2 linked regions of the Rattus norvegicus genome follow. The protein of the gene in region 2 purifies or fractionates together with the protein of the main gene of each other region. This does not show direct contact. Links are inferred from orthologs where the notes say so. Each region holds a gene or a part of one and is shown on either strand. Other genes may lie near its edges.

Region 1 (5,223 bases), about 77 Mb from region 2:
GAAAAAGGAGTTTGGTACAGTGACACAGGTCTTTTATTCCCAGCACTCAGGGGGCAGAGGCAGACAGATCTGTGAATTTCAGACCAGCCAGATTACAAAGAAGTTCCAGGACAGCCTAGGTTAGAGACTCTGTCTCAAACAACAAAAAAACAACTCCATAAACACCACCACCACCACCACACCACCACCCGCCCCCCCCCCACACACAAATAAAAGAAAAAAATACAGGACAAGAGAGAGATAATTAAATAGTATGGGGTTGAGAGAGAGGATGAAGAAAATGGATTGTGTAAGATACTCTTTAAGAGATCTGACACCCCAAAGTCACCCCCTAAGGTGTTTCTAAATGACAACTGAAAATGGCATCCGAAGATTTTTCTGGAATCTGAAATATGTCACTGGAACAGTTCCAGAGAAAGAGAACCCACACTAATTCTGGTAGAGTTGGAATCTAAAGACTGGGTGTATAAATTGTTGAAACAATGGAGGTTGAAGAAGTTAATCACAATGCCCTTTTGAAAGATCGCACAGCCAGTACAATTGTTTTGAGACAATATTTCGTGGCACAGGAAACACAAATGTGTAAGCACACTACAAAACAATACGAAGTGGTTTTTTTTGTTTTTTTTTTTTTGTTTTTTTGTCAAACGTTGCATATCTAGGTAAGAAATAGATAAAACTATCTCTAGGGTTGGGATTTTCCTGCACTTTTAACTTTTCTTTTAAAAACGTGTCTCGATTTTATAACTCTGAGCAAAATTTGTCCAAGAACAACTTTAGCAGAACCCCGAATGTGGGGACCCACATTCCAGCACTACCCTAGCCTTTGGAGACGGAGGAATTAGATGTGCCCTCGGAGGTCTGAGACCCAGGGGAATGAGAAGTAACGAGATCGAGACCGTCCTCCTTCTAGTAAAATCCGCACGTAGAGCCGTGGGCTGCTTAGGGGATCGCGCGGCACAAGTGGCCTGGAAGCTCCGAGCCAAATCTTCTCCGCCCATTCCAGGCCAGACACTTCGCACCAGCAGGGGCCGAACACCTCAGCACCTCGAGGTCGCCGACAACCATAGGGCCGAAGGTTGTCGTATTCTGAGGGCCTCTACGCTTTTTCAAGGAGCCAGCCAGTGTAGCCGCTGAGGGGAACAGCGCCAGCCCGCGCGCCAGCCGAGGGTTCCGCAACTGAGTAGAGGGTTGTGGGCGGGGCTTCAAGCCGGAGCTGTGATTGGAGCAGATTGGCCAGAGAAGCCGAGAGCGCCAGCTAGTGATGCTCCGCGGCGGGTGCTCAGCGCTCTCTCTGTGATTGGCTAGGCGCGAGAGGACGGGCGCTGTCTGGGTGATTGGCAGGCTCTAGACAGCCCTCGGAAATCGCCTTGACTTCGCCCATTGGCATCCTGTAAGAGTAGGCGGGATTGGTCCGTCGTGATTAGCTGGCGGATGAGAGTGAGGGCGTTGGGAGAGAACGGGAGGAGGGGCGGGAGTATCTGACTTCCTCCTGGTTATTGGCTGGCAATGGGCATGGGGGTAGCGCCAAGGCCCAGCGGCTGTCTGCGATTGGCAGATGCTGGCATGAGTGACAGATTGCAAGGCTTGCTGCGCGCCCAGCGGTTTGTTTTTCGGAGCGTTCCTGAGGTGGAGAACAGTGGCCGGTCGGAGCTACTTCTGGACTTCAAGACTGGCAGGCGGGCCAGCCGAGTGGCGCCGCCGAGGCCGGGTTGGGCCGAGCCTGGGAGCGCCGGGGATGTAGCGGGCCACCCTGCTCATGCCACAGCGCCCGGCCCGGGCCGGAGCCGGAGCCTGGGGAGGCGGCGGGGGCCCCGAGCGCAGCCCACGGCCCCCGCGCGGAGCCAGGCCTGCCGCCGTCCCCGCCGCCTGCTCCCCCGGCATGCAGCCCCGGCTGCGGAGGTGACACTTCTGGGCTGATACCGCTGCCGCCGCCATCGCCACCATGGGTGAGTACCGCCACCGCCCCGGCCTGTGCCCGCGCTGCTTCGCGACGCTCCGCCCTGGGCTGAGGGGAGGAGGACCCTGGGCCGCTGCCTGACAGGCATGGACAGTTCGCCGGGCCCGGGACTGAGGACCGCGAACCGCTCGCCTCTTCGCGGCGCCGCGACCAGGGCTGTGATTCTGGCTACCAGGACCTTCCGGGGGTGCCCTACCGGCCAAACCCACTCGGCAGCTCTCTTTTCGGGCATGCGGCGGGCGCATCCCGGGGAGGGGTCTGCGGGACGGAGGCCCGTGCTCGGTCGGGCCGCCCACTCCGGTCCCCAGCGAGCTGGCGCGCGAGCTTGAGGGTGGGGGAGCCGGAGCTCAGTGTGGGGCCGGGGCTGGAGCCTGGTGCAGGCCCAGCTGCTGTTGTGTCTTTTCCTTGATTTGCTTTTTTTTTTTTTTTTTTTTTTTCCTGCCTGTGTCATTTCCTTCCCTTTGCTCACACTGTGAGTTCCCGGGGCTTTGCTCTGGAGCTCGGTGCGCTCCCCTGCGCAGGGGGGAGGGTATGCGGGGGATCCACTGCGACGCTATTCGACGCGGATCCCTGTTAGCAATAGCAGGCTTGAGAAATGCGAGCTGCGCTCCTCACAGATTACTGAAGTTAAGAATCGTTAAACGCTGTGGGTTATAACTCAGACCCTACTTTTGGAAAAAAATCCGGCTCTTATCCAGTGCTATCCCTGAAACTATGTAACTTTTGAAGGAGGCATTCGCTACATAAAAGAATCACTATGAAATCATTTCCTTTTTGTCAGTATTTGTAATTCTGCTGTGAAGATATAATCTAAGAAAAGTTTTTTAATGTCTTCTACACAGTATTTGAGCTGAATAAAATATATATTTCGCATAATTTTGGTATTTTACCAAAAGACTTGGACTTAGCTAAGGAATGTGTGACACTTTAAATATATTTTGCTTCTCCACTTGGGGAAGGTATTGTGATGCTCTTGTTCCTGGTCTCAATCAAGTTTTGCAAAAATATTTAGTATTATCTTAAATCAGAAAGGGATAAAATTCTCCTTCGCAGAAGCACTCATTGCTTGTTTGAGTGCGCCATATGAAGATGGAATGTTAATGCTTGTTTTGCCCTATAGTAAGCTCAAGTCATTTTTATAAGGGTTTAGTGGATGCAGTCGCACATTAGCCAGATACTCGATTGGAGCTCCTTACTCTGGCTTTAAATTAATTGCTTTATTCTTGCTTTGTTCTTTTTCACTCTGCCCCTCATACAGTATGGAGAGAATTTGTTCATTTGGTGGGTTTTCTGTTCCCTTTCCATGCTGTATTTCAGAGTTTTTTTCTACAGAGCTCTCATCTGAGACACACAAACGGAACCTAGTAAGGACTCACATTTCAATATTTATTTATTTATATTTATAATACAATAAATGTTTATGGAATGCTTATTATATGGGGCACATATTTCTTTATATATTAATGGGGAACAGAATTCTTTTTATCCTCCCCCAGTTTTCCCACATTTATCTACTGCTACAGAATTTAAGTTAAATCTTTGAATTATGGACCTATGTTATAAAAGTTTAGTAAGCTTTCCTTCTTCCCCGGTGTGTGAGCCTTAAGTTCCAAAGGGGAGTATGAGATCCTTCAGAATGTACAGAATTCACATGTAACACTTTGATTGTAAAACCAGTGTGTGAGTATCCAGTGATGAAGGCAACATCTCATTATCTAATATGAAAAGAGATGAGAGCCTGTTTTCAAATTTGAAGAGGTTTTCAGCCAATGTATGAATATGTGGAAAGGCCATGTTGGGAGGAAAGAAACTATGTTGGTAAAGTTCCAAAGTGGGAGGAAAAACAGGGAACATGGTATCTTCTTATTTGACCCCATGTCACTTTTTAAATGTATTTTTGTTTCCAGTGCTGGACATCAAACCTAAGCCTTATGAATGCTAGGCAAGCACTTTGCCATTGAGGTACATCCCTGGCATTCTCTTGAATACCTTTTCTTTTCTCTCTCTGTCTTTCTTTTTGGTTCTTTTTTTTTTTTTTTTTTTTTATTTTTTCGGAGCTGGGGACCGAACCCAGGGCCTTGCGCTTTCTAGGCAGGCACTTTACCACTGAGCTAAATCCCCAACTCCCTCTGTCTTTCATATTTAAAGGTGTTTTTCCTGCATGTATGTCTGTGTGAGGATGTGAACTACAGACAGTTTTGAGCTGCCATGTATGTGCTGGGAATTGAACCCAGGTCTTCTGGAAGAGCACCCTGTATGTACTCTTAACTGCTGAGCCATCTCTCTAGCTCTTTCTTTCCTTTTGTTATTGTTGTTATTATTGTTCTGAGATAGAGTCTCCCTGTGTAGTCCTAGCTACCCTGGAACTTGCTATGTAGACCAGGCAGTCCTTAAATTTATAGTAATTTCTGCTTCCCCAGAACCTAATAAACAAACATTTAGTAAAAAAGAATCTGATTTTTTATATTTTCATTGCATTTAAACTCCAGCTCAGTGACTAAAGGACTAAAACTAATTTGTATCTCTGCTCTGCAGGTTCTTTGGTTCATAGTCATATTTTTCTGAGCAGTTCTATGCTCTAGACTCAAGCCTGTTTGACAACTTGACTTGTTAGTAAAAACAGGTCAGATTTTATATTGTCTGTTAGCCTCAGCAAAAGTCTAGTGGAAACTGTAACTTACCCTTGTAAAGAGTGGGAAATCTTTGTTTAGTTTTTTGGCTTCCAAACTGTGTGACTATTGAAATTTTTTTCTTGGACATAGTAGAATTTCTTCCAATAATTATTATAATGCTGTTAATAATTCCTGGGACTTATTTGCTAGTGTTTATTTGTTCTTTTTCTAAATATAACTTGAAGCTTAGGGGAATATATTAAAAATGGGTAAGGATGCACAAGGCCCTGGGTTCGGTCCCCAGCTCCGGAAAAAAAAGAACCAAAAAAAAAAAAAAAAATGGGTAAGGACTTGGAAATATTACAGGAACCTAGGGAACTGAATACAGAATTAAAGATGGTTCTGGGTTGACAACTTGGTTTGAGTTGTAATTATTAGAACTTAACAGAACTAGGTCTGTGATTCCAAGGCTTTTGGAAGCACCTAGGAACACTCTCAATTTGTCTAGACCACTCCTGTAGTAAGCTCAGCATGATTAACAACTGTTTTGAGGGACTCTTGAATCACAGTTTAATAAATTAACATTCTTATATCATGAGTAGATTTTGATTTTCTTTTTTTTTAATATTTATTTTTATTTGTGTGTATGTG
Region 2 (4,550 bases):
ACGAGCAGGTGATGACAGAGGGCAGAAGGGCAGCCAGTGGGTGTGGAGCAGCAGCAGGGACTGCCAGGGACAACAGCACCTGTCAGCCCAAGCCCTCACCCTGGGACCCAGCCCACGCCCACCACAGCCAAGGCTGAGTCTGGAGACACCAGGAATTGGGGTCTGCTTTACTATCGAGGTCCTTCGCCAGGCCCGAACCCTGGCAACACTATGCAAGCCCTGGGAGAGGCCACACATGCCTAGATAGGAAACCAGTGGCCTCTGCTGGCAGCCTGGGAAAGGGCAGGGTGGGAATTACCTACCAACTTCACCAGTCTGAATGGGAGGCACAGACCTACCTGACTTCAAGGCGCATCGTCTGCAGAAGGTGTGCTGTGGGGACAAAAAGTGGACTTGGGGGACTCCAGTCAGAGTCTCACATCATCCCACACCACTGCAGAGAGCTCCGGCTGGACAGCCAGCTTAGGATGAACAGGGCTAAGGTCCTCGGTCAGGGTCAGCAGGCAGAGTCGGGTGGGAGAGGTGTGTGTGCTTACCCCACACGTAGTGATCACAGGGTCCTTGAACACACTGCAGCAGAGCTGGCAGCACAGCTTCACCGAGGGCTGCTCCGCAAACACCAATGGCTCCTAGACAGAGCGGAGCAAAATGGTCAGCACGTGGGCCACAAGTGGGGGCTTCAGGCATAGACCCTCAGTGACATTAATTACCCAAGCCGCCTGCACGTTCACCCGTCCAGGGCTGTTCACTGGCACTGAGACCCATGAGAGGACCAAGGAGCTAAAGCAAGGGGTGTGGTTCAGAGGCAGGCTGTGAGCAGTGAGAAACTGACACACAGCATCTGCACACATGGTCTCAGCCTTACTGGCCTCTCTTCCTGCCTTACAGACTAGCAAAGGACCCCGTCTGAGCCCCACCTTCCCACAACTCATCCCCAGGCAGCCTTTACATAGACTAGAGGCCCTAATCGGGTCTGACCTACCCACAGCATGAGCTATGTTGGTGCGGTCTGAGGGACAGTGCCCTGTGCCACTGCAGCACTGACAACCCTGGAAGATGATTCCTGCCAAGCCCACCACACCTACCGGCTCCTCTTCCTCCTCAGGCAGCGAGAACGTGGAGCGCAGGGACATGCTGGACTCGGAGTGCAGGGAGCGGACAGAGATGGCTGAGTCAGAGCGGCGAGGAGTGTTGATGGGGGGCTGCACAGATGGAGGCAGCCTGTCAGGGGGTTGAGCCCTGTGGAGGCAGGGGCGCCCCTAAGCCACCCCACTTCCAGCAAACCCACAAGGCTGTGGATTGTGTGTGGGAGGCTGGGATGGCCTCAATCCCGTGGCCTGTGGCGGCCAGCCCTGGCCTTTGGTGCTGGGCTGCCCGTTCTTGCCTGCCAACTTTCTTTGTGTAAATGGAGAGATTTCCTGCTATTCAATTTTACAGGACATGCTCAGGCTTCTTCCTGCTTCCCGTGAGGGAATGTGGGCCGCAGAGAGGCTGCATCTACCAGCCAATCCTGGGGCAGCTAAGACACCAGATTACCCAACAGAAAAGAGTAGAAGTCTGGTCAAGGAGAGGAGCCCATGGGCTGAGCTGCCTTGTCCAGGAGACACTAGACCCAGCCGGGAAGGCTCACTGGGACATTTCACCAGAGGCTGACCTCGCCTCCTCAGACCTGAAGGGAAGGAGCAACCTTTGATGAGGTCGTAGGGGAAGAGAGGCATGGTATCCAAGAGCTACTGCTGCCATAGCTCCTCCATGCAGGACCCAATGCCTAGGCTCACCTACCTCTCCCGAGCCTATGTCCAGAATAGGGAAGGGGGCCATGAGATAGGGATGCAGCCCATCCCAGTTCTGGGCGTCCCTAAACAGAGGCAGAGGCTGGGCACATATTCACCCACCAGGGCAGTTCCCATCTCTCCTTACTCCGATGTCCCAAGTTACATCGTGCATGGGAGTGCCCTGTGAGACCCAGAGGCTAAAGTTAAAGGAAGTGGGTCATACCCCCACAGACAGCAATGGCAGGCAGAGGACACAGCTCCTAGGCAGGAGCTAGTACAGAGCTGTAGTCTCCCCTCTGCCTACTGGCTAGTGCAACTCTTAGGCTCCCCCACTCCCACTCCCCGTGCCAAGCACAGCAACTAAGGCCAGTCAATGCGGTGGGGTGGGCATGGCTGCTCAATGTCCTACAGCAAACACAAGATTCTAGGACATCACACTAAAGTTACTATAACCTGTCAGATGCCCCAGAGTTATCCAAAACCAGAAGCACAATGAATCCACTTCCAAGGCCCAGGCTGCAGTCAGGAGTTGGGTGGAGACTGAGAGAGGTGAAGCTGTGGGGTATGGGTACCAGGTATCTAACCCATCCTGGGGCTAAGGGCAGTGCCTGCCCCGTAATATGCCTACTGGATGTTTATCTTCCTAATGAAAAGGGAAAAAAGGGGTTGGGCATGGTGGCACATTCCTTTAATCCCAACACTCCAGAGTCAGAGACAGACAGATCTCTGTGAGCTCAAGGACAGCCTGGTCCATATAGTGAGCTCCAGGATAATGAGGAGCACATAGAGACCCTGTCTCAAACAAAACAAAACAATGACAATGAACCCCACCAAATATAAAAGCAAAAAGAAAAGGGAAAAGAAGTTTGGTTCCTCTGCCGTCCAACAAAGACTTCGGTCCTGGCAGTCATCCTCTGTCCCATGGGCAGATTCACCTAACTATACCTTTTATGGCTCCCACCTCCCTTAAGATGGAGCCCAAACTGCCTGAAATTGGCCTTCAGGGGACATGCCCTAAAGCACAGTTCCACAAACTGGCTGCTTCCTGCCACCATCCGGCTACAGGAGCCTCCTCTTAGTTTCAGGAATGCAACAAGTGCTCAGACCTCAAGGTGCCTCACCATCCTGACTCTGCTCTCCTGCCAGCTCCTCTTAGGACCTGGGCCTCAGTGAGGAGGGCCTGACAGGAGGGTTGGGGATCACACTGGGCTCCTGCATCGTGGAGACCTACCATGCCGTCCTCCTCATCCCGTGGCGAATAGGCAAGGGTGCTAGAGGAGGAAGGCGTCCTGCGATGCTGTTTGTATGTGCTGGTCCCATCAGCTGCTGAAAGAGAGGGGAAGGGCTGAGTGACACAGCTGTCAGTGGAGGAAGGGGCTGAAGGGATGGAGACATCTGGCAGGGCTACGGAACCCTTCGGATTGTCTCTAGCTCTCAGCCTCCCTGTCCTAGACTGGGACATGGTTATCCAGGATAGTCTTCCAAGGTAAACCAGTACCAGCAGTGTGGCCCTGGCTCATCAGACTGCAGACAACTGAGAATGGACTGCTAGCTGCCCTGCCTGCCCTACTTACCAACAGGAGACGTAAATGCATTTCCTGCCTCTAGTGTAGAGAACCTGGGACTTGGCTCATGCTCACACCAGCACTAGATCCCCAACCTTTGCTGCCCTTTCCTTCTTTCTTTCTTTTTAAATTGTACATGGATGAGTGTTCTGCCTACATGTATGTCTATGCACCACTTATGTGACTGGTACCCATGGAAGCCAGCAAACAACATCGGATCTCCTAGAATTGGAGTTAAAGATTGCTCTGAAACACCATGAGGGTGTTGAGAATTGAATCTGGGTCCTCTGGAAGAAAAGCCAGTGCTTTTAACCACTGAGATATCTCTCCAGATTCAGTTTTTGTTGAATCTGGCTTTTTGAGACCTGGGACTCATAGAGATAGACCTGTTGCTGCCTCCCAAGAGCTGAGATTAATGCAGGAAGACAGGGTCTCCTTAGACTGCTCAGGGTTACCTCAGAAGCATTACTTTCCTGCCTTTACCTCCCAACCGCTAGGATTACAGGCAAGCACCACCAAGCCCAACTAAGATCTTTCTCTCATACCCCCGACAAGGTTCCATTCTTCAGCCCAACAAGGGGCCCCCATGCCTTGCTGGGCACAGAATCAACCCCAAATAGTATATGAGTAGCCTGGCATCTTTCTAGGGTGGGTCACTTGGGGGCTTCCCTTCGATCTTTAAAGTAACTGCCAGGTTGACAAAGAGGAAACAGAGCAACTGAAGGACCTCAGCAAATACACGTCTAGTCTATGTCCTCCCTATTCCTCCCTAACCCAACCAAAATCAGGAATTGGAGCTAGACTTTTGGTCTCCCTCCCTCTTGCCTATAGAATACCTTGTCCAGCCTGGTCCTGAAAGCTGAGGTTCCCCAAGAATGAAAGGTCAAGGCTCCATGTGGGAACCAGAGAACCATCTCATAGGCCCTATAAGGCTTGCAGCGCCAAGGATAGGCTACAACCAGCACAGGTTAAAACTGAGCCAGATGTCATAGCAATCAGACTCTTAAGGCTTCCATTCAAGATTAGGAACTGCCTATCCTGTGACTGGGCCGGATGAGGCGAGTACTGGTTCACTGTTGACTAGCTGATATGCTATTTGGCTCTGGAACCCTCAACAGTGCTGATAAGCACTGTGCAGTCTCTAAAGATGTACAAACTGTTAAGTAATGGCCTCCTGGTAGGGGTGTGGGAGAAGAGGCCCTCTCTTGAG

Evidence for each region. The genes of interacting proteins can lie anywhere in the genome.
Region 1: the proteins of Traf7 (region 2) and Map3k3 purify together in Homo sapiens (affinity purification with mass spectrometry; 5 studies listed by BioGRID and IntAct, with this or other methods). This does not show direct contact. The link is inferred for Rattus norvegicus from reciprocal best matches to the Homo sapiens genes TRAF7 and MAP3K3.

Annotation. Positions count from the first base shown.
Region 1 is NC_086028.1:91,518,320-91,523,542, forward strand, and holds the start of Map3k3 (mitogen-activated protein kinase kinase kinase 3), read left to right. Parts: upstream 1-1,656; 5' UTR 1,657-1,945; coding exon 1,946-1,949; intron 1,950-2,014; exon of another isoform or gene 2,015-3,324; intron 3,325-3,867; exon of another isoform or gene 3,868-3,922; intron 3,923-5,223. UniProt on the Homo sapiens protein: Component of a protein kinase signal transduction cascade. Mediates activation of the NF-kappa-B, AP1 and DDIT3 transcriptional regulators.
Region 2 is NC_086028.1:14,042,789-14,047,338, forward strand, and holds part of Traf7 (E3 ubiquitin-protein ligase TRAF7), read right to left. Parts: intron 3,102-4,550; coding exon 3,007-3,101; intron 1,240-3,006; coding exon of another isoform or gene 1,203-1,239; coding exon 1,086-1,202; intron 630-1,085; coding exon 537-629; intron 373-536; coding exon 339-372; intron 1-338. UniProt on the Homo sapiens protein: E3 ubiquitin and SUMO-protein ligase that plays a role in different biological processes such as innate immunity, inflammation or apoptosis. Potentiates MAP3K3-mediated activation of JUN/AP1 and DDIT3 transcriptional regulators.